Linked DNA regions of Lepisosteus oculatus. The protein of the gene in region 1 purifies or fractionates together with the protein of each later gene. This does not show direct contact. Links are inferred from orthologs where the notes say so. Each region holds a gene or a part of one and is shown in the gene's direction. Other genes may lie near its edges.

The links. The genes of interacting proteins can lie anywhere in the genome.
Region 2: the proteins of ddx39ab (region 1) and api5 fractionate together in Homo sapiens (co-fractionation; 3 studies listed by BioGRID, with this or other methods). This does not show direct contact. The link is inferred for Lepisosteus oculatus from reciprocal best matches to the Homo sapiens genes DDX39A and API5.

The regions. Positions count from the first base shown.
Region 1 is NC_090706.1:13,739,917-13,751,016, reverse strand, and holds the start of ddx39ab (DEAD (Asp-Glu-Ala-Asp) box polypeptide 39Ab), read left to right. Parts: upstream 1-5,812; 5' UTR 5,813-5,916; intron 5,917-7,374; 5' UTR 7,375-7,375; coding exon 7,376-7,583; intron 7,584-7,680; coding exon 7,681-7,808; intron 7,809-9,836; coding exon 9,837-10,113; intron 10,114-10,811; coding exon 10,812-10,930; intron 10,931-11,100. Other genes in the region: uncharacterized protein, read left to right, coding at 1,021-1,074, 1,193-1,228, 2,110-2,811. UniProt on the Homo sapiens protein: Helicase that plays an essential role in mRNA export and is involved in multiple steps in RNA metabolism including alternative splicing. Regulates nuclear mRNA export to the cytoplasm through association with ECD.
Region 2 is NC_090716.1:16,206,465-16,216,969, reverse strand, and holds the start of api5 (apoptosis inhibitor 5), read left to right. Parts: upstream 1-5,500; coding exon 5,501-5,884; intron 5,885-7,644; coding exon 7,645-7,806; intron 7,807-8,035; coding exon 8,036-8,129; intron 8,130-8,451; coding exon 8,452-8,517; intron 8,518-8,813; coding exon 8,814-8,965; intron 8,966-10,505. UniProt on the Homo sapiens protein: Antiapoptotic factor that may have a role in protein assembly. Negatively regulates ACIN1. By binding to ACIN1, it suppresses ACIN1 cleavage from CASP3 and ACIN1-mediated DNA fragmentation. Also known to efficiently suppress E2F1-induced apoptosis.

The DNA.
Region 1 (11,100 bases):
GACATGGAGCTCTTGATCCTGACTGGTGTGATGGGAGACTGTGAGGGGAGATCAGAGTCATTGCAGTAATGGTATGAGTAGTAACTGCTGTAGCACTTTACTGTAGACAGACTGCTGCAGGTTGGTTTAGTGTCGGTTATCTCACTGCTATGTGCTCTGTGCTTCATGCCTTGAACTCTGAGCTCTGTGCTTCATGGCGCATGCTCCAAGATGTGTGTCCCATGCTGTGTACTCTGTGCTTCAAGCCTAGTGCTCTGTCTTGTTGTGTCTCGTCCTGTATTCAGCTTCTGTACTCCAGGTGTGCAGTGTAATAGTTTTATATACAGGTGCCTCACACCCTGTGCTCTGAGCTGTGTGTTATCCTGTGTATCCTCTCTGCTTCTTGCACTGTGCACTGAGTTTTGTCCTCTGAGCTCTGTCTAGCTCTGAGCACTGTCTTGGCCCGTGTGAGTCCTGTGGGATCCAAGCTATATCTTGTCCTGTGGGATCCAAGCTATATCTTGTCCTGTGGGATCCAAGCTCCGTCTTGTCCTGTGGGATCCAAGCTATATCTTGTCCTGTGGGATCCAAGCTCCGTCTTGTCCTGTGGGATCCAAGCTATATCTTGTCCTGTGGGATCCAAGCTCCGTCTTGTCCTGTGGGATCCAAGCTATATCTTGTCCTGTGGGATCCAAGCTCCGTCTTGTCCTGTGGGATCCAAGCTCCGTCTTGTCCTGTGGGATCCAAGCTCCGTCGTCCTGTGGGATCCAAGCTCCTCTGAGCTCTGTGTGCGTGCCTTGTGTTCTGCATGGAGAGTGCAGCTCTTAGGGAAAACAGGCAGCCACTGGACTGCAGGACATTTCAGTCTGGAAGCTGCCAAACAGAACACAAGTAACGCACACTTTCATGACCTCTCGCCATGACGAGAACTAGCACCATGAACAGGGCAGTGATGTTCCCAGGAAGCCACAGTCCTCAGGCTGCTCGTCTCCCTGACCGCCTGCTGTTGTCGTGCAGGTGGTGCTCCAGAGTGATCTCGCCATGCGTGTGGTCGTTGTGCTGCTGTGTGTCCTGGGCACTGCGCTGTCAGCCTCGGTGAGTGTCTCTGTGTAGAACACGTGGGCAGACGCAGGACTGTTCACCCGAGAGGAAGCACTGAGAGACAACACATAAGTGTTTTTCATCGCCTCCTCCCTGCTCCCTTATCTTTCAGATCTTTCAGAAGAACGGTCAGCTGAGGCTGAGAAAGGTAACACTGCCCCCTTGTGGTTAAAAAGGTCCTAGCACATGCCTCTCCAGTGTAGCAGAGATACTGAAGACCTGGAACAAGTTAATTAATAATAATAATAATAATAATAATTGCTTACACTTATAAAGCGCTTTTCTGGACACTCCACTCAAAGAGCTTTACAGGTAATGGGGACTCCCCTCCACCACCACCAATGTGCAGCCCCACCTGGATGATGTGACAGCAGCCATAGTGCACCAGTACACTCACCACACACCAGCTATCAGTGGGGAGGAGAGCAGAGTGATGAAGCCAGTTCAGACATGGGGGTTATTAGGAGGCCATGATTGGTAAGGGCCAATGGGAAATTTGGCCAAGACGCCAAATTTGTGATCAGTTGCAAGTGATTTGGTCAATTAAACACTTTAGAAGTTATTTAACAGAAATAGTCAGAAATCAAGGACCAGAGTTCCTGTAATAGGGTACATACCTATTATTTGAGCAATTAATAAATTTATCTACCCAAAGATTAGAAACAGACAATTAAGGGCAACACATGAAAAAGACTGGGATCCTAGAGCCACAGGAGCGCGCGAGTGCTCAGAATCAGCCTGAAGGGGCCGCTGTGCCCAGTGAGGCCCTGCTGTGAGGGACAGATCCAGACACAAAGAGGCTTTGTGATGGACTAGAATAGAGAGCTGTGAGCCTGGCGGGGTGTTGGTTACTGGCTCTGCTGGGAGGGACAGGGAACACGGGGAGGGCACAGCATGCCTCTGCAGACCCCTACAAGACACCAGCCATGCCCACTGACAATTCCAGCAAAAACGAGCCTAGCTCTGGGGTGGGCACTGAGGCTGACCTTTCTCTCTCTCTGCTGTCTCCTGCTGTTGTGTGGCCAACAGGTCCGGACCCCCCCTGGGCAGCAGGGCTCCCCCACAGAGTCCCCGCTGCCTGGTCCCGGGGGCACCTCGAAATCCCCCACTCCAGCTCCCCCTCCTCTCTTCCCCGGCCCCACGGCACCACAGAACCCATTCATCCAGAATGAGCCTGGCCCCAATGCACCCCAATTCCCTTTCCCTGGGCCCGATGCACCCCAATTCCCCTTCCCAGGCCCCGATGCACCCCACTTCCCCTTCCCTGGCCCCATCCCAAGACTGGACACCCCACCAAGAGACCCCTCCCTCCATAACGGGCACCCCCCTCGGCCTCCCTGCACCCCACCCTTCTATAGGCCGTACTACTTCAATGCAGCACTGCCACACCCCCAGTACCTCCCTTACCCCTCCTTCATGGGCCCCCCGCCCCCCATCTTCTCAGCCTACCCCCCCTTCCCCCCAGGGCCCTTCTTCCCCGGGCACGCCCGGGCTGGGGTGGCATTGCCCCTCAACATGCCCCCGCTGCCCTCTGTGCCCAGGAGCAGGGTGAGGGCGGGCGCTGCCTCTGTCAGCCCCCCTCCCTCGCGGGCGCAGGGGGTGCGGGGTCTGTTCCCAGGGGGGGCAGGAGAAATGCGGAGCGGGGCAGGTGCTGGGAGATCGACCCTGCTGCCCCAGAGCCTGGTGAGCAACGAGAAGGGGCACAACGGGGACTCCGCACAGACCGTCTAGGTGAGAGGGCCCAGCTGGGGTGGGGCGGGGCAGGGCGGTGGGGTGGGGTAGGACAGGGTGGTGGGGTGGGGCCGGGTGGTGGGGCGGGGCAGGGCGGGGCAGGACAGGGCGGTGGGGTGGGGCCGGGTGGTGGGGTGGGGCGGTGCAGGACAGGGCGGTGGGGTGGGGCCGGGTGTTGGGGTAGGGTGGGGCGGGGCAGGACAGTGCAGTGGGGTGGGGCCGGGTGGTGGGGCGGGACAGGGCGGGGCAGGACAGGGCGGTGGGGCGGGGCAGGACAGGGCGGTGGGGTGGGGCCGGGTGGTGGGGCGGGGCAGGGCGGGGCAGGGCAGGGCGGTGGGGCGGGGCAGGACAGGGTGGTGGGGTGGGGCCGGGTGGTGGGGCGGGGCAGGGCGGGGCAGGACAGGGCGGTGGGGTGGGGCCGGGTGGTGGGGTGGGGTGGGGCGGTGCAGGACAGGGCGGTGGGGTGGGGCCGGGTGTTGGGGTAGGGTGGGGCGGGGCAGGACAGGGCAGTGGGGTGGGGCCGGGTGGTGGGGCGGGACAGGGCGGGGCAGGACAGGGCGGTGGGGCGGGGCAGGACAGGGCGGTGGGGTGGGGCCGGGTGGTGGGGCAGGGCAGGGCGGTGGGGCGGGGCAGGACAGGGCGGTGGGGCGGGGCCGGGTGGTGGGGCGGGGCAGGGTGGGGCAGGACAGGGCGGTGGGGTGGGGCCGGGTGTTGGGGTAGGGTGGGGCGGGGCAGGACAGGGCAGTGGGGTGGGGCCGGGTGGTGGGGCGGGACAGGGCGGGGCAGGACAGGGCGGTGGGGCGGGGCAGGACAGGGCGGTGGGGTGGGGCCGGGTGGTGGGGCAGGGCAGGGCGGTGGGGCGGGGCAGGACAGGGTGGTGGGGCGGGGCAGGGCGGGGCAGGACAGGGCGGTGGGGTGGGGCCGGGTGGTGGGGCAGTGTGATCAGTAGCAGCAGCAGTCTCACTAGTTCTGCTGATAGTGTTAGCAGTGCCCGTGTCTAACACTGTTGTGTCTCCTTTCACAGCTACTGACCAGCAAACAACAAGCACACTGTCATGCACACTCACACCCACACTCACTCTCACCCAGGAGCACACCCACACTCACTCTCACCCAGGAGCACACCCACACTCACACAGGTGCACACCCACACCCACACTCACACAGGTGCACACCCACACTCACTCTCACCCAGGAGCACACCCACACTCACACAGGTGCACACCCACACTCACTCTCACCCAGGAGCACACCCACACTCACACAGGTGCACACCTACACCCACACTCACACAGGTGCACACTCACACTCTTCTCCCTGCCCCGCTCACTTCCTCACTCCTCCTCAGCTATACCTGTGTACCTCTCCTCCTGACATGGGCACCAGCACCTGGGCCCGGGCTGGGCTGGGCCGGGTCAGCACTGGGATGGGAGAGTTGCTGTTGTAAGTGGTGCAGGTGGACCAGTAGGTGGTGCTCTACCTTCTGGACTCTGCCCTCTGGACAGGAATTTCCACATCAGTATTGTGGAAACTGTGCATTGTGAATGACTGTGGAACTGCTGTCCTTCTATGTAACAGATCCTGTAACTGATGAGACATTAAATCAATTAAATCAAAGTACTGCCTACTTGGTCATTTGGTCCTACTTGGCCAGCAGCCATATCACTCTGCAGCTCACAACTTGCAGCCCACTGAAGCTCAGCAGGTGTGAGCCTGGTCAGTACCTGGATGGGAGACCTCCTGGGAAAAACTAAGGTTGCTGCTGAAAGAGGTGTTAGTGGGCTAGCAGGGGGCGCTCACCCTGAGGTCCATGTGGGTCCTAATGCCCCAGTATAGTGATGGGGACACTATACTGTAAAAAGGCGAGGTCCTTCGGATGAGACGTAAAACCGAGGTCCTGACTCTCTGTGGTCATTAAAAATCCCAGGGTGTTTCTCAAAAAGAGTAGGGGTGTAACCCCGGCATCCTGGCCAAATTTCCCATTGGCTCTTACCAATCATGGCCTCCTAATAATCCCCCTCTATGAATTGGCTTCATTACTCTGCTCTCCTTCCCACTGATAGCTGGTGTGTGGTGAGTGTACTGGTGCACTATGGCTGCCATTGCATCATCCAGGTGGGGCTGCACATTGGTGGTGGTGGAGGGGAGTCCCCATTACCTGTAAAGCGCTTTGAGTGGAGTGTCCAGAAAAGCGCTATATAAGTGTAAGCAATTATTATTATTATATTTAAGATCTTGGGATACTTTTGTTTGTAAGGGGATTGTCCTGCATCAGTCCCACTCTGGGCTCGAACAGACTGGCCTCCCTGCTGACCCCTTAACCTGCCTGGAGCAGGAGCACAGGTCACTCCCACCCCTGGCCTCTGGACAGCGGGGTGAAGTGGGTTCCGTCTTATTCCGAAGGGCTTTGGGATCCTTTGAGATGAAACGTGCTGTACAAAGGCAGTTATTTTAGAATTGTTAATATTGTAAATAAGGCTTGTGGGGATCTGGAAGAAATTGTCACCAAGTTATTGATCCTGATCCTAGGATCAATTAACTCCTCTATTGTAATAGTTCTAATGCACAGCTCTCATATACCCTGGATCTTAACCACCGGACCAGCTGTCCCCCTGCTGTGACAGTCCCGTATCTTAACCACTGGACAAGTTCATTAATAAAATAATCGTCCCCTTAACAATTATTGTATAAATACCAGAAAGGTCGCTTAATCTAGACTCTTATTTTTCTAACTAGTTAAAGTTTAAAGTAAGTTATTCCACGTGTGACAACTATGAACTTCGCAAAGCCGAAGACGAAAACCCTCCTCTCATTTCATTTCCCGGTGGAACGGCATTTGTGTCTCCTTCCGAGCGGGCAAAGAAGAACCCGCCTCTTACCCCAACAATCAAACCAATCCGATAGGAGTACTTCCGTGATGGACACATGAATAAGCCAATAGAAAGGGGCTACGGAGAGTTTTCATGTGATTGAAGATCACTTTAGCCAATAGGAGCCTCAGCTGGCCCGGAGGCGGTAGTTCCGGATGCTTGTATAAACCAAGCGGCCTTGCCATGTGTGTTGTTTCAGCGGCGGATTGAGGCTGTTTGGGGTTTGAGCTGAGAGGTGAGAAACGGGAAATTCGGGGTTTAGTTTGTTCCAAGTCGCAGTTTTTCGTTTTGCTGGGGTTGTGGTGTCTCTGGGATTTATTTAGGAGGAGGGTAATTGAAATTTTATTGCGGCACTAGTCCACGAATCGTTGTGTTTTTCTGTGCGAGTCGGTGAGAAAGGAGGGGGGACGGCAGTTCGGTTTGCCGGCTTCATTGAGTCCGGTACCTGCTTTTCCGTCCGGGCCGAGCCGGGCCGGGCGGGTCGTTCGCAGGAGGGCCGGGGACAGCCGTGAGCAGCCCCGCTGTCGGGGCAGGCCGGCGGGCCGGTGTTGCGGGCCGGCGGAAGGAGCAGACCCGACCTCCCATTGTTCGCTGCGGAGCGTCATGGCAGCTGCAGCCCGGCCGAGCGCTTGCTGTTGTCCCGGGCTCGCCTGCCGCTGCCGACCAGCTGCTGTTTCTCCTCCTCCTTCTCCTTGAAAGGTGACTTGTTCCCGGCGGCGTTGCTCGCCTGCTGCGGGGTGAACAGTGCTTCTGGACGCGTTGCTCCGGGGTCTGGGCCGAGATGCCGAACCGGGTCAGGGGTTGTGACCTCCCGGCGCCGGTGACCTGTGGCTTTTAGCTACAACGTGTTTTGGCGTTTCCGAAAGTCCGTCGTGCGAAGTCGACTTTTGCTACTTAAAACTTTGCCTTTCGTGTTTGAAAGGAACGCTTTAGCAAGAGGTTTTTTCTTTCTTCCACGCGTTGCCTTTTCTTTTTAAGGGCGCATTTCTCATTGGTTAGATAAGTATTTGTTTTTTTCCGCGCTCGGGCCTTCGCGGCCCGCTTTCAGTCTTTGTTCGGTTCGGGCAGAGGGCACTTCCTCCCCCGGTCGGGGCGCTCAGGAAAGAGCGGTGCTCGGGCTGCGGCCTGTCGCTTTGTGCCCTCGCCCGGGCCGAGCGGCTCTGCCGTTTTAGAGCCTTTCCTTCGCTTCTGAAACGCGCTGCTGGGGAAGGGTTTATCTGTCCAGGCGTTTCGAGTATCGGTCTTCAGCGCTCGCAGTGGTGTTGAAATCGAAACCCTCCGCGGGCGGGAGGGCGACGGCTGGTGACCTGTCCGGGGGGTCCTGATACTTGTTCTGCAGAAAGTGCTGGACAGGCAGTCAGCCCTCAAATAACCGCCAAGTGAGACTGCTGACGCTGTTGGACGGGTTTTAGACTGTGTAGGGGTCAAGTATAGCCGGCCGGCAGCGCTCTCGTGTGCTGTGTAGACGGGGTGCACTGAGTGGCTTTCAGTGTCTTGAGAGATGGAGGCCTCTCCTCGCTGGGGCTCAGTGTGTGTCTTGAGCGTGGTGTGGGGATGATGAGGTCTTCTCCTCTCGGTGTGTGTCTTGAGCGTGGTGTGGGGATGATGAGGTCTTCTCCTCGCTGGAGTGCCTGCTCTCAGGTGTGGGGCTCTGCTCTAACGATCTCCTCGCTTGCTGCCCCCTCCCCCCCAGCATGGCAGAGAACGACGTTGAGAATGAGCTGCTGGACTACGAGGAGGATGAGGAGCCGCAGACCGCGCCGGAGAGCGCCGCGCCTGCCGGCAAGAAGGAGGTGAAGGGCTCCTACGTCTCCATCCACAGCTCCGGCTTCCGGGACTTCCTGCTGAAGCCCGAGCTGCTGCGGGCCATTGTGGACTGCGGCTTCGAGCACCCCTCCGAGGGTGAGTGCGCCGCCCCGCTCCGCGGCTGGGGGGGGGGTGGGGGGATTGTGAATCCCGCGGATCCAGGTGACCCGTCTCTCGTCCTTGCCTCTCCCAGTGCAGCACGAGTGCATCCCGCAGGCGATCCTGGGCATGGACATCCTGTGCCAGGCGAAGTCGGGCATGGGCAAGACGGCCGTGTTCGTGCTGGCCACCCTGCAGCAGATCGAGCCTGTGGACGGACAGGTAGGTGTCCCGGGCCGGCTGTCCGTGTGGCCACGAGGCGGCCAAGAGGAGCTGGTCTTCACTTGCAAACCACTGCAGGGGAGCAGGCCAGTGCACCTCTCCACCAGACTCTGTCAGGGCTCGGGTTGGAGACGCAGGCAGCCAGATCACTGGCTGCAAACAGCCGTTTAAGCCACTTCTGTACCAGGAGTGTTTGCAGTAGAGCAGTGTTAAGAGTAAATGGTGCTTCACGTCCACTGCACTTCCTAAATCTAAGAATTACCACCTGGATGATGCTTCAAAGCACCAAGAGGCTACAAAAACATTAGGTAGTCACTCATTCTGAGTGCTGTTACTCTTATCCTCTTAGGTAGTAGGCACCAGTATCCTCTGTCATTGTGTTGACAGCATGTGCTAGAAACTATACATAAAAAAAATAGATAAGGAGAACCCAGTAAAACAACACACAAAAGGATATACTTTTTCATTAATTTATTGATCAAAATGATCCAACATCAAATGTCTTTGTCAGAAGAGGTACGAACCTATGCTTTCAGTTACTGGTGTGACCCCTTTAAGCAGCAGTGACTTCAACCAAACGTTCAGGGTAACTGTTGATCGGTTCCGCACATCGGCTTGGAGGAATTTTGGCCCATTCCTCCTTACAGAACTGCTTCATCTCAGTGATGTTGGCGGACCCGCTTCAGGTCCTGCCACAACAATTCTATTGGATTAAGGTCTGGACCAAAGTCCAGACCTTAATCCGATAGAATTGTCAAAACGCAAAATTTCTTCTGCTTCAACCATTCTTTGGTTGGGTGACTTGTGTATTTAGGGTCGTTGTCTTGCTGCAAGACCCACCTTCTGTAGAGCTTCAGTTCACGGACGGACATGATGTTTCTCGTTTAAGCCAAAAAGTTATTTTCGACTCATCCGTCCACAGAACATTCTTCCAGTAGTTTTCTGGCTCACCCAGGTGGTCTTTAGCGAACTTTGAACGGGCAGCAATGTTCTTCTTGAAGAGTAGTGGCTTCCTCCTTGCTGTCCTCCCATGCACACTATTCTCGTTCAGCGTTTGCCTGCTGGTGGACTCAGGAACACTGACATTAGCCAGTGTAAGAGAGGCCTGCAGATCCTTGGGCGTTACTCTGTTCGTTGTGATCTCCTGGAATATTAGACGCTTTGCTCTTGGAGTGATTTTTGTTGGATGACCACTCCTGGGGAGAGCAACAATGGTGTAAATTTTCTCCATTTGTACGCTATCTGCCTAACAGTGGATTGGTGAAGCCCAAGGTCTTTAGAAATAGTTTTGTAACCTTTCCCAGCGTGATGAGCATCGAGAACTCTTTTTCTGAGGTCCTCGGAAATCTCCTGTGATCGAGGCCTGGCATGCATTCACAAACCTGTCTGGTGAAGACCAGACTTTGGTCGTGAAGACTCAGGTTTTTTTAAATAGGGCGCAGCCGCCCAAACTCACACCTGATTGTCATCCCATTGATTGACACTCCTGACTAATTATCCCCTTAACTGAGCTGATAATCCTAGAGATTCACATACTTTTTCTGACAAAGACATTTAATGTTGGATCATTTTGATCAATAAATGAATGGAAAAGTATATCCTTTTGTGTGTTATTGGCTTCTCCTTATCTATTTTTATGACTTGGATGAAGATCTGATCACATTTTAGGTGCAGAAATTCTAAAGGGTTCACAAACTTTCTAGCACCACTGTATGTGCGAACATCTCGTTTTTCTGCACCAAAGTTTTGTTTTGCATCAGTTGTATCCATCTGTAAAGTCGACTGGATGGTTTGTGTACTCGGAGTACGTGTCGCACAGACTTTAGCGGCTCAGTGAGGCGAAAGGAAGATTTCCGCAGCACATAGACAGGGAAGCACGTTCTGACAGGCCGGTTCTGTGATTATAGCAGTGACTTCAGTGGTGGTCGGCCATGATCGGCTCCCCCGTCAGGAGGCTGGTGAGGGCCGTGGCGGCCCCCGCGCCCAAGTGTCCGCGGCCATGTTGACGGTGTCCCCTTCTGTCCCCAGGTGGCGGTGCTGGTGATGTGCCACACGCGGGAGCTGGCCTTCCAGATCAGCAAGGAGTACGAGCGCTTCTCCAAGTACATGCCCACCGTCAAGGCGGCCGTGTTCTTCGGGGGGCTGTCCATCAAGAAGGACGAGGAGGTCCTGAAGAAGAACTGCCCGCACATCGTGGTGGGCACGCCGGGGCGCATCCTGGCGCTGGTCCGCAACAAGACGCTCAGCCTGAAGAACGTCAAGCACTTCGTCCTGGACGAGTGTGACAAGATGCTGGAGCAGCTGGGTGAGTGCCGGGGTCGCAGTGGGGTCAGCCACGATGGTGGGAGAAGCGCACACCCCTCTCCACTGGGGAGTTCTGCCGGTGTTTTGCCCCCCAGTTACGTGTCTGAAGGAAGTCTGCAAGCCCGGGCCTTTGATAGCTGTCCCTGAAGTGGCATGTTGCTGTCGTGTGTAGGATTTTGAAGGGGAAGGGCCCTTCTCCTGGATACGACCAGGAATCCAGCTCGCTTTCTGTTGCGCTTCTAGTCTCCTGTTTGTCTGAAGTCCAGGGTTATGGATAGGGTGCCCACCCATTAAATAATCCAGGACGGGACACTCCTGCCTGGACAGGAGCCTTCATGCCGATTGGAAGTCACCCCGGACGTGGGGGCGCCCTGAATCGTGGGAATTGGTTCTCTCGGCCCACAGAGACCTCGGCTCCCTTTTGTGTTTCTTAACATTGGTTAGCTGTTGGAAACTTGGAGCATCCCATTGACAACAGACACCTGAGCATGCTACACTAATCTATAGCCTGGCTTGGGATTGCAGTCTCCCCCCCGCCCTTCCCAGAGGGATTTAGGAGAGGTGCAGGTACTCCTGGGGATGAGGGGACAAAATGTCCTTCGAGCTCGCTCTGCTCGCAGTCCTGTGCGACCCTCTGGTGGTTGCGGTGGGCGTTGCACTCTGCTTACCTCTCCCTGCCTGTGTGCGTCTGTGCTGCAGATATGAGGCGGGACGTCCAGGACATCTTCCGGCTGACGCCTCACGAGAAGCAGTGCATGATGTTCAGCGCCACGCTCAGCAAGGAGATCCGGCCCGTCTGCCGGAAATTCATGCAGGATGTGAGTGGGGTTGGGGGAGAGGGTGGGCCCGCAGGTCGGGTTGGGTGATCCTGATGGTCCTGCTGTGTGGGAGTGATTGTTGGCAGTGTGTGAGGTGTTGAGGAGTCAGTATTGCAGCCTGGCCACTTCCCTCTGGTTGACCTGCTGCAGCAGCAGCAGCTCAGGCGCTT
Region 2 (10,505 bases), on another chromosome or scaffold:
GCCCTGTGAAATGAAATTATCTATTAACTTTATAATGAAAAGCATGAGTTCAAAGTGAAAATCTGGCAACAGACAAATGTTATTTTTCACTTTGACTTGCAGCACTAGCTCAAATTCTTCTGGAGCACAGAAAATTGGACTCATTTTTTCCCCAGGGCAAAATGCCTTTTAAGTTACCCTCTTATTATGAAGACCAACCATTCCTATTTCTGCAGTTGTAGGGACTCGCTTCAAATTCCTAAACCTGTGATGATGACAAAACAGCTAAAGGACACCACCCTTAAGCTACAGCGTAAATGGCAGGTGGTCTAGCCAGTTTCCCAGCTAACACTAAAAAGCACAGGGCACTGAAATGTTAAAGGCCAGGACCTAAGGTTAAAAGGTCTGTTACAATTGCTGCTCAGAATTTTTCAACTTGAGTTTCTGCAGTTAGAGTGCCACCTACAGATCAACCACAGGCATTGCATTGCTGAAATCTTGGGGATGATATCGGTGAGAAAAAATACTACAAATTAATCAGGAAATGTACAATAACATTAAAATCAATATTAAATTAACTGCCCATATTAAAATCAAACAGTCCCAATACGATTACATATAGAACATGGGAGGAGCGGTGGCTCTTTGTCTAAGGATCTGTGCCTGTGACTGGAAGGTTGCCGGTTCAAATCCCGCAGCCGGCAGCGGAATCCTACTCCATTGGGCCCCTGAGCAAGGCCCTTAACCCTAACTGCTCCAGGGGCGCTGTACAATGGCAGATCCTGCACTCTGACCCCAAGCTTCTCTCCCTGTCTGTGCGTCTGTGTCTCATGGAGAGCAAGCTGGGGTATGCGAAAAGACGAATTCCTAATACAAGAAATTGTATAGGGTTAATAAAGCAACATTATCATCATCATTATTATTATTATTAGAACAGAATGCAGAAAAAAAAACCCAGCTGTATCAGGTGTCTTTGTGTATCACATGAATGTAGAAAGCCGGTATTTGTAACATGGGCATGGAAGTGCTTGTCAACCCGTTTCTTGTTTTGAAGAGTTGACACAGATCCACGGACACGCACCAGTCCCCCTCACCTTGAAGACGGCGCTCTCTCCGAATTCCCTCTGTGGCAGTCTTCCTGGCTCAAATGTCTACAGGACGCCTTCCCAGAAGAGTGAGTGTTTGACCATGGTGTTTTTCCCCTCCAAGTCACAAATTTCCACCCTCTGTGCTGGGGTCTTTAAGGAGCAGTGTTCATTTTCTTCCTTTCACCTTCTATCTGATGGAGAAAGCCTTCCATAATTTAATCATAATCCCGTAAATTTTCCACTTGGGACGGAGCTACACCACTCCCTTTCTCTTTCACTAAAGCACGGAATGTACGTTTTCTTCAAACACGACTACTTGGCTTCATCCACATTGCTTCTAGAGCAAAATAAATGGCTGCTTTTAATCTTGAAGAAAGGGAGTCCTTCTCCCGCTCTCAAACTGAAGTAGCCTGGCTATTTCTCCAGCCCGTAATCGCACGGACCTCCGCCCTACAGACACTCCAGCAGCCAGGGTCCCGTCTCTCTACCTCTGGGGCCGACAAGCTGTTTCCAATACAGTCTGTGGACCTACAGGACCAACAAGAAGAAGAGACATTACAGACTCTTCCTTACACAAAAGGAGAATGAAGTGCACTGCACAGGGTTTGTGAAGCCCAAGAAAAACTATAACAGACGTTTTAGGCATCAACAATTTTAAAACCACAACATCCTCACATTTACCATCGAACAAGGGAACTACCTTTCAATTCTCCCACATCTGACTAGGAGTCATATTTCACTTCCAATACAGCCCTTGCACCAAGCCAAAACATGGCATGTATCAGTGGGTGTACAGATGTAGATTTTTGTAAAAAATGTACTGATGATCTGCAAAAGCAATAGCATTTTTCTCAGGTTGTGCTCTTCTCTTGCAATCTTACACAAAGAGGATGAGACAAGGGATATGTGCAGCATCTGATATTGGCTTACTTTAGCACTTCCTATGCTCATATATTGGAACCACCGATTGCTTATTCAGGCTCACAACTCCATATCCTGCGACGCACAAGGAGAAAAAGGAGCCAAGACACACTCTTCCGGGATGTGGCGATCTCCACACTGACTTACAGGGGAGTCGGCACCGATTGGTGCAGCTCTGCCACTCTCACTGATGTAACTGCAGGATGGCAGGTGCGCGGCAAGTCATATGGCTTTTAAAACACTTAAGATTAAAGAGGATTATTATTTTTTTCAAATGTGTTAAAACTGGGTGACACGGTGGAGCTCTGGTGAGCATTACTGCCTCACAGCGCTGGGGTCCCGAGTTCAACTCCCAAGGCGCTGTGCTCCCACAGCCTACTGGTACTGTAGGTCAACTGGCTTCAGGGAAAGCTGACCCTGGCGCGAGTGAGTGTGTCTGCCCTGGAAGAGACTGGTGTCCCATCCAGGGTGTACCCTGCCTTGCGGCAGATGCTTGCTTGGATTGACTTGCCGTCTCCCCGGGACACAGAATTGGAAGAAGCAGTTAGAAAATACAATGCCTGGATCAATAATATACAAAAAAAGTAAAATACAGAAAATACAAGTAAATTTCTAGAGTCGAACTTGCATTCATTTACAACCACCATGTTTGTGGCTTTCAATTGGTAACCGTTTCCAATAGATGTAGTTGCTTTAAGAGTATAAAAGCAGCAGTTCAGAGCTTCTCGCACTGAAACAGTCTCAGACGGTGATGCAAAAGTAAAGCAGCTGACACTGTACATTTAAACCCAACATTAAAGTCATCGAGGGGACCAGAAAGCTTTCAAGAAATGAAGAGGGGAGTGGTACGTGCTGATAACACATAGCCGCAACTACAGTAATAAACGTTTTATTCCTACAGATAAAGTGTGACCTACACAAGTGACCGTTTTTCTCGGCAGTAATCCTAAAGGTTGAAATCTATCACACATTCCCACGCCTAGCTAACTCCACGTCCATGAATTAATATAAGTCTGACCTGATCTGTTCGAGCCCTAGAATATGGGTTGGCAACCAGTACTTCTCCCACCGTTTGTTTGATCAAACACACTCACTGTACTGTAGCTACTGCACACACACACACAAGTTGACGTCATATCATTCCCCATACAATCGAAAGCAGACACACGAAAAACGACGATTAAAGCGGCACGTTTTTGCCATTTGAGGGAAGTGAGTGACAGGACTAATTTATTAAAACTAACAAGCCGAGGGGAAGTCCTTGAACGCCCATCTGAAGCACTTTCCAAACCATTTAGAGAAACCCCTAATCTAACTGCTTGACGACAGTTATGTCGCGTAGAAATGAGTATCACTCTTACTAGAGTTGAAGAAATCCCCATGGAAAAGGCACAAAATAAGGACATTTACTAACACTGACATCTTAGCTCGTCCTGGAAAAAAAACCCTCGTGAAAAACAAGACACGCGAAACAAGTTATGGATAACTACGCTGAACATTAAACAAATGTGCCACATAAGCGTGTATTTAAAAAACCCACAGTCTTTGACAGCTTGACCTGTCCTGGGTGCAGACGCCTGCACTGCTGAACTTCTCAAGACAAGGCGGTGACTTCACGGAACTGCGCCGAAATGAACCACTTGAGCAAAGCGGCCTCCCACTGCTGTACAGGGGTCCCCGATCACCCCCCTTTCTCTGGGGAACCGTTACAAACCCAAGCAGCCGCCGCACTGGTGGGTTTAAACCCGTCTTACCTGCCAGGAGCGAGAATATTCCGTGCTCACTTCTCTGCACTGGCGTCTGACGAGTCAAGAACGTCCGGACATCACGAACTCGGGGGTGAGCGCCGCCTCCCCGGGCGCCCCCTAGTGACAGGGAGGTTTATGACCTCGGTGTTCTGCACAACCACACCTGAATAAATAACTTCTCTGTGCAGGACACTGGTGCTAAAAACGCCTGCCCGGCCTCCCTCTGGTTTTTGATCCGCCCGAGCTCTTAGTTTCTGAGGCGAAGTGCCGCCTTTAATTCAAAAGCTTTACCGGATTATATCTCTTCAGCCAGTTTCCCGGCTCTGCGTTCCACAAATGCTATGGCTGCAGTTGTGTCCACATAAGGAGATCTAGCAGACAAGAACGCAGCCCATTCATCCATACATCATCAGTTCGGATATTAAGTGGGTCCTCTGTTTTTGTCTTCCTTAACAGTTCTCTGCAGGAAGAGGAATTACATTATATGCAGTCCTCATACCACAAAAAAATAAATGATTCTCCCCATGTCCTGCAGAGAGGTTCGGTTATTTACATCCCGCACTTCTGGGGAAGAGCACGTGAAGAACTAGGAAAGTATCTGAGGGTCGATACCACTTATTAACCCTAAAATCTTACCAGCTGGAAACAACTTGTCCAAAAAGGCAGCTACAGATCAATTAGCCTGATTGATTAAAAGCTCCGTTAAAAAAAAAAAAACGGGACACCTGGTCCTCCACACACAGGCTGAAAACCAATGATGCAGAGGACCGGTTAATGACAAGATATTAAACCCGGAAATGTAAGGATTCAATCCGAGTACAGGTAGTCCCTCCCAACTCACCAGTTGTATTTTAAATTCTTTGCACTGATGGCTAAGTAATTAGACTTATGTTTATTTTCTTGCTGTAACAACGTAGTATGCTTTATTTTGTTTTGTCTTTCTGGGCATTCTGTCGAAACTGAAATCCTTTTTGAGAGGCATTACGAAAAGCAAATAGTTTTGAAAACCACTGTGTTCGCCCATCCTGTGTTGGAAAGTATCTAGCTGCCCTGTTCTACTCCAGAAACACGGAAACACGAAGCTTACAGCAGAACTACACCATAAACGGGACACAGGACCATCTCTGGGTACGCAAACAGACGAACCCATGTTGAGTTGGGACCAATGTCTTTGGGATAGAGTCTTTATTATCTCCAAGGGGCAATTTCTTTTAAAGCGGCAGATGTAAAACAAACACAAAAACAATACACGTAAACACATGCATGCACAAAAAAACATCCGTTGAGCAAGGTCGTGACAGATTATGAACAGATGAAGATAACGCCTTCTATGACGAATTACAACACTAAAGCAACTAACTGTAAAGCATAATGCTATAAATCCAATGAATAGCGCAGCCGTGTTAAAATCATAATTGTAAAATAAACTCTAATAAAATGAACATTTTGTTTCTTGCGTTTCATTGAACATCAAACGATTGAAATAAAGGAGAAACAGTGTCCAGAAAAGTGAGCCAAAAATAACAGAACAATATGTTGCCAGAGACCATCGCAAATCTGAGCACAACAAGCTAATACTGTTACAAACATCAGCTGTGCTCTATTAATATGAGCATCCACAGTTTGCATGAATGATGCGTGCACGTCAGGTCCTGTGTACTTACGTCACACACCGGGGCGCGAGAGCCTGCTGAGTTTTGCTCGTGGCTGCGTCTGGAAGGCAATTGGTCTGTTGTCACACCGGTAGCTCCCCGCTGACTGCGCATGCGTGAGCGTGCTCACCCGTATGTTGACGTCGCACGAAAAGCCCGAACCGATCGCGCGGGAGCCCTGCGTCTGCGCGTTGTGAGTCTTGCGAGTCTTCCCCATCTTCCCTGGCCGAGTCGCTCTTGTTGGGAAGTGAGCAGTCGCGCTATTGCCCGGGCGGCCGTTGGTCCTCAGCGCCGAGTTCTGGAACCTTCCTGCGCAGGGAGCGCTCGGCCACACGGGCCGCTCGTCCGGAGAAAGCGTGCCGCAGGCCGAGGCCGGGATCGGGCAACAGGCATAGCAGGGCTTTGCGCCTCTATACCCACGCTCATGGCGGTGACGGTGGAGGAGCTGTATCGTAACTATGGGATCCTGGCGGACGCCAAGGACAGCGTCGCCCAGGTGAGGGAGCTGCGGCCCGGGGCGCGGGGTGGGCCCGGAGGCGGCCTCGCCGCTCCCGCCGGCTGTGCGCTGCTGGGCCCGTCCGCCGCGCCGAGGCGAGAGCAGGCCGCCGCGGAGCCTGCCTCCCGTGTCGGTGCTGTGGGAGAGAAAGTCGCCAGTGGGGGCGGAGGAGGCCGGGGCCGGTGTGCGGCTTGCCCAGCAGCAGGCCGGTGCACGGAGAGAGAGAAACTTACGGGCCGTCTTGCTCCGAACTAGGGCTGATGAGAGTCGCCCCTGACTGTTTCTAGTGCCACAACACTTCACCTTTCGCTAATGGGTTATTGTGCCGGTATTTTGATATGTTTTTAATCAACCACCTTTTTTTTTCTTTTGTTGGGTATACAGTACAAGTCCCAGCTTACATTAGGGCAGAAAGGAAGTAGCCAAATACAGAATCTTAAGTGTTGATAATATTTCTGGCTTACGTGATTCAACGTTTCGGTTCAGCCAGTTCAATTCAGTGTCTGGTAGCGTGAATCTGGGACGTTAAATGCTGTGGTTTTCAAGAAGGTCATGCCCCTTTGTTCTTAAGTGCAGTTCTCGATGTTACAATAAAAAAAATATATATCCAGGTTAAGGTTTTCATTTGCATATGAACAAAATTGTTGATTGAATGCATCCCAGTAAAGTAAGTTCACGGTTTTCATAGGCTGTCGTGTTTAATCTTTCTTCTCATCTCTCAGAACAAAATAATTGTTCTGTGCTGTGAAGATGGCAGCTCAGTTGTTTCGTAGCTGAAGTAGATCAGGGGTTCATATAATGTCAATTAATGTTAATGTTTTTTTTAATGTTTCTTTATTAGCCCTACACAATTTCTTGCATTAGGAATGCATCTTTTCGCATACCCCAGCTTTTCTCTATGGAGACACAGAGACAGGGAGAGAAGCTTGGGGTCAGAGTGCAGGATCTGCCATTGTACGGCGCCCCTGGAGCAGTTAGGGTTAAGGGCCTTGCTCAGGGGCCCAACGGAGTAGGATTCCTCTGCCGGCCGTGGGATTTGAACCGGCAACCTTCCAGTCACAGGCGCAGATCCTTAGCCACAGAGCCACCGCTATATAGCATACAGCAAAAACGTTAAAAATATTTTGTAACTTGTAATCTAATTTTCACTTCTGCCTGGTGCAGTTTTAAAGCTCGAGATGGCAAATCCTGTCCTTTGCCTGAGTCTGGTTGTGTGGTCATCTTGAAGGCCGTTTTCCGGGGCCCTTCTTGGAGAATAAAATCAGTGTTTAAATTGAACGTGCTCGCTAGCTTACTGCTGCTGTACATGCCTGCTTAGTATTGTTGATGGTTCTGCAGAGCTAGGTCTTGGCAAGTAAGTTTGCTGTAATGTGACTACAAAGGCTGTAACAAGCAACTATTGCAGCTTCACAGCCAGAATTGGGATTGGGAATGGATTTCACAGTGTCAGCTTTAGGACCTGGGGTGCTGTCTGTGTGGAGTTTGTATATTCTCCCTTTGCTCCCGTGGGTTTCCTCCCACAGTCCAAGGACATGCTGGTGGGTTAATTGGCCCTGGTGTGTGTGTTGGTGTCTGTGTGTGGACTGGCGTCCCATCCAAGGTGTTCCCTGCCTTGAACCAGTTTCTTGCAAGGATAGACTCCGGTTTCCCCGTGACTTTGACTTGGAAGGAGCGGTTGAAAATGGATGGGATGCTCGCCCACGGTACATGTGCTGTATGGTTTGTGACGTCTGTGTAGTAACAAGCCCCTCTCCCCGCAGCACAAGGATGCGTACCAGGTGATCTTGGACGGGGTGAAGGGAGGCCCGAAGGAGAAGCGCCTGGCCGCGCAGTTTATTCCCAAGTTCTTCAAGAGCTTCCCCGAGCTGGCGGACGCTGCCATCAACGCGCAGCTCGACCTCTGCGAGGACGAGGATGTCTCGGTAAGAACAGTAAAACTAGCTGCAGCTCGGCATGCCCTTCTGAGCCTCATCACCTGAAAAAATTAAAGGCGTAAAACAAGTGCAGAGTGATGGCAGAATATTTCTGGAGGCTTGCACTAGTGCTCTTTCACAGATTGATGTTTACAGTGTGGGGGTGAATGAGGTAAATGGTACCCTCCCTTGTGACGTGCAGTTCATTTCAGTTTCTGTTTTCCTCTTTCCTGTCTAGATCCGGCGCCAGGCCATCAAAGAGCTCCCTCAGTTTGCTGCTGGAGAGAATCTCCCCAGGGTGGCAGACATATTAACACAGCTTTTACAGACAGGTACACATCCAGAGCAGCTTTCAGTTCCACCTGCGCCTTGGTCCCTGTCAGTGCCACAGTCCCGTACATTAGACGGCTTTATCGTTTTTGTCTTGAAATGTTTTTTTGTACACCATTTTCCTGTATATTCCCCCCCCTTAATTGTGTGGTGTGTTAGATTTAACCATTGGCTAGCAACGTTGCACTTAGCGCACACCCTCTTGGTTTGAGTAAACTCGACTGGCCGATATATTGATTAACTAGGAGAGGATTTGAATAGTCAAGCAAGTCTTTTTTTTCTCTCCAGTGTTAACTAGTAATTTATTGCGTTTTCTGTCAACAGATGACTCTGCAGAGTTTAACCTGGTAAACAATGCATTGTTGTCCATATTCAAGATGGATGCCAGAGGTAGGATTACGTGATTCACTAAATCAATTTATTCTTTTGTACTCACCCCTTTAATGGTGGAATGGCGGCATCTTAGAGGATGTGGACTTTGGGATTAAAAACCGCTGCTAACTAATACTATAGTCTCTTCCTTAAATAACTTTTCTTCATCATGTTAATCAGAATTTAGAAGAGTTTTTAAAGTTTGGGCTGTGAGTTTGAGGGACTGGTCCTTGACATCAACATAAACGTCCAGAGCTATTTCATTTCTTTCATTTTTGAGTCAGTCTCTTATCTCTGCCACTGTGTCCCTGTAGGGACGCTGGGGGGCTTGTTCACTCAGATCCTGCAAGGGGAAGACATCGTCAGAGAGAGGGCCATCAAGTTCCTCTCCACCAAACTGAAGACTCTGCCAGAAGAGGTGCTGACCAAGGAAGTGGAGGATTACATCTTCACTGAGTCCAAGAGGGTAAGTGTAGGGCCACATGCCTGACAGTAATCTGATTAAATAACGGGAGCAATAATTGAACTAGATTAGACAGTGCATCTCAGACTCTGAACCATTACAGGAATTAGATTTCAACATACTGCTTCCTTTTAAGTACTTTTCTATATGTAGAAATCCTTGATGGCATCATTCTTATAATTACACAGTTTAAAATTAAAATCTTGATATATGTCCTGCGGAGTTTGTAATGAATATTATTTTCTTTCTCCTTGTCAAGATGAATGAAATTCTAGAAACGTTTGGTTACATTTTTTGAGTTTCTCACATTACAATATTTAACTCCTGCAGATTGATGCTTTCGAATTTTATAACGTATATTATTCAGTGGGCTTTTTTGCTCCTAACATTACGGCTCGTGTGTCAATATTTACTGTTGTAAGTAGCAAAAGCATGTAGGTTAGTGGAGCTGTTGCTGCTGTTGAGATGTTTGTGTGTGAAAACTGAGGCTGTTTCTAACTTATAGCCTTAGTTGTGTTCTTGTGGGTTTGTTTCCTCGAAAAGCTCTGCTTTCTGGACAAAGGAGCCTAATAGTGTTTGACTGGCCTGGTCACTTCATAAAAGTAAAAAATGTAGAGAATGTCTTGCCTGTTTTGTATACCCAAAAGGACTGTGTGCATTGTACTTCTTTCGTTATTAAATAATTCTCAGAAAGATAAATCAGGGATATCATTTTAACAATACGCTTGAGTTGTAAACATAAAGTGTTTCTTTCAGTCTCTGAAGATATCAGTAATGACTTTTGCAGGGTGGAGCTTTTAATTCTCAGTTCAGTCCAACATGGCTACTAAATTGACACTCTGTACAAATTCAATTACATGCAATACAATGGCTTCATTTTTCTAGACAATAGTTGTATTTGCCATTAGAAGTTCTTCACCATTTGCATTCACTATTTACATATCAACAGTCTATCGATTGGGGGGAACCGTTTAGCCCTTGTTGTGTAAACGTGGGTCCTGCCCGGCTCTTGAACTGTGAATGTCCGATCGTTCATGGGGGCCGTTTCGGGCACAAGGCTTATTGTCCTGTGTGAATCTTTAGCCACTGTGGAAGGCCCACGGTCCCTTCCATCTGTCATTCACAGTGGAGAAGCCCCACCGGCAAACACTTAGGTCCTGATTCCCCACCCCGTGTTGAAAGAGTTGAAATTTGCAAATAACCCTCCAGCTAATAATAATCATTTACTTACTTCTACCATAAGGTATTAACTAAATAAGGGGGCAAATATCATTAAACCTAGTGTGTAACACTACCATGAAAGTCATTCCACCTTTGTCATAATTGAAAGTTTAATGAATAATTTGAAAGAAATGTTCTTCTCTTCAAAACATGGAGTTGGTGGGGGAGGGTCACATGACCGCAGAGGCGTTTCCCGAGAAGCAGAAGAGGCTCATCAGTAATGAGGGATGTAGGCTAGGGCAAGTGTTCAATGCAGATGAAACAGGCTTGTTCTGGAAGAAAATAAGGAAGCAAACACCAGCATTAAAGGTGGACTGATGAT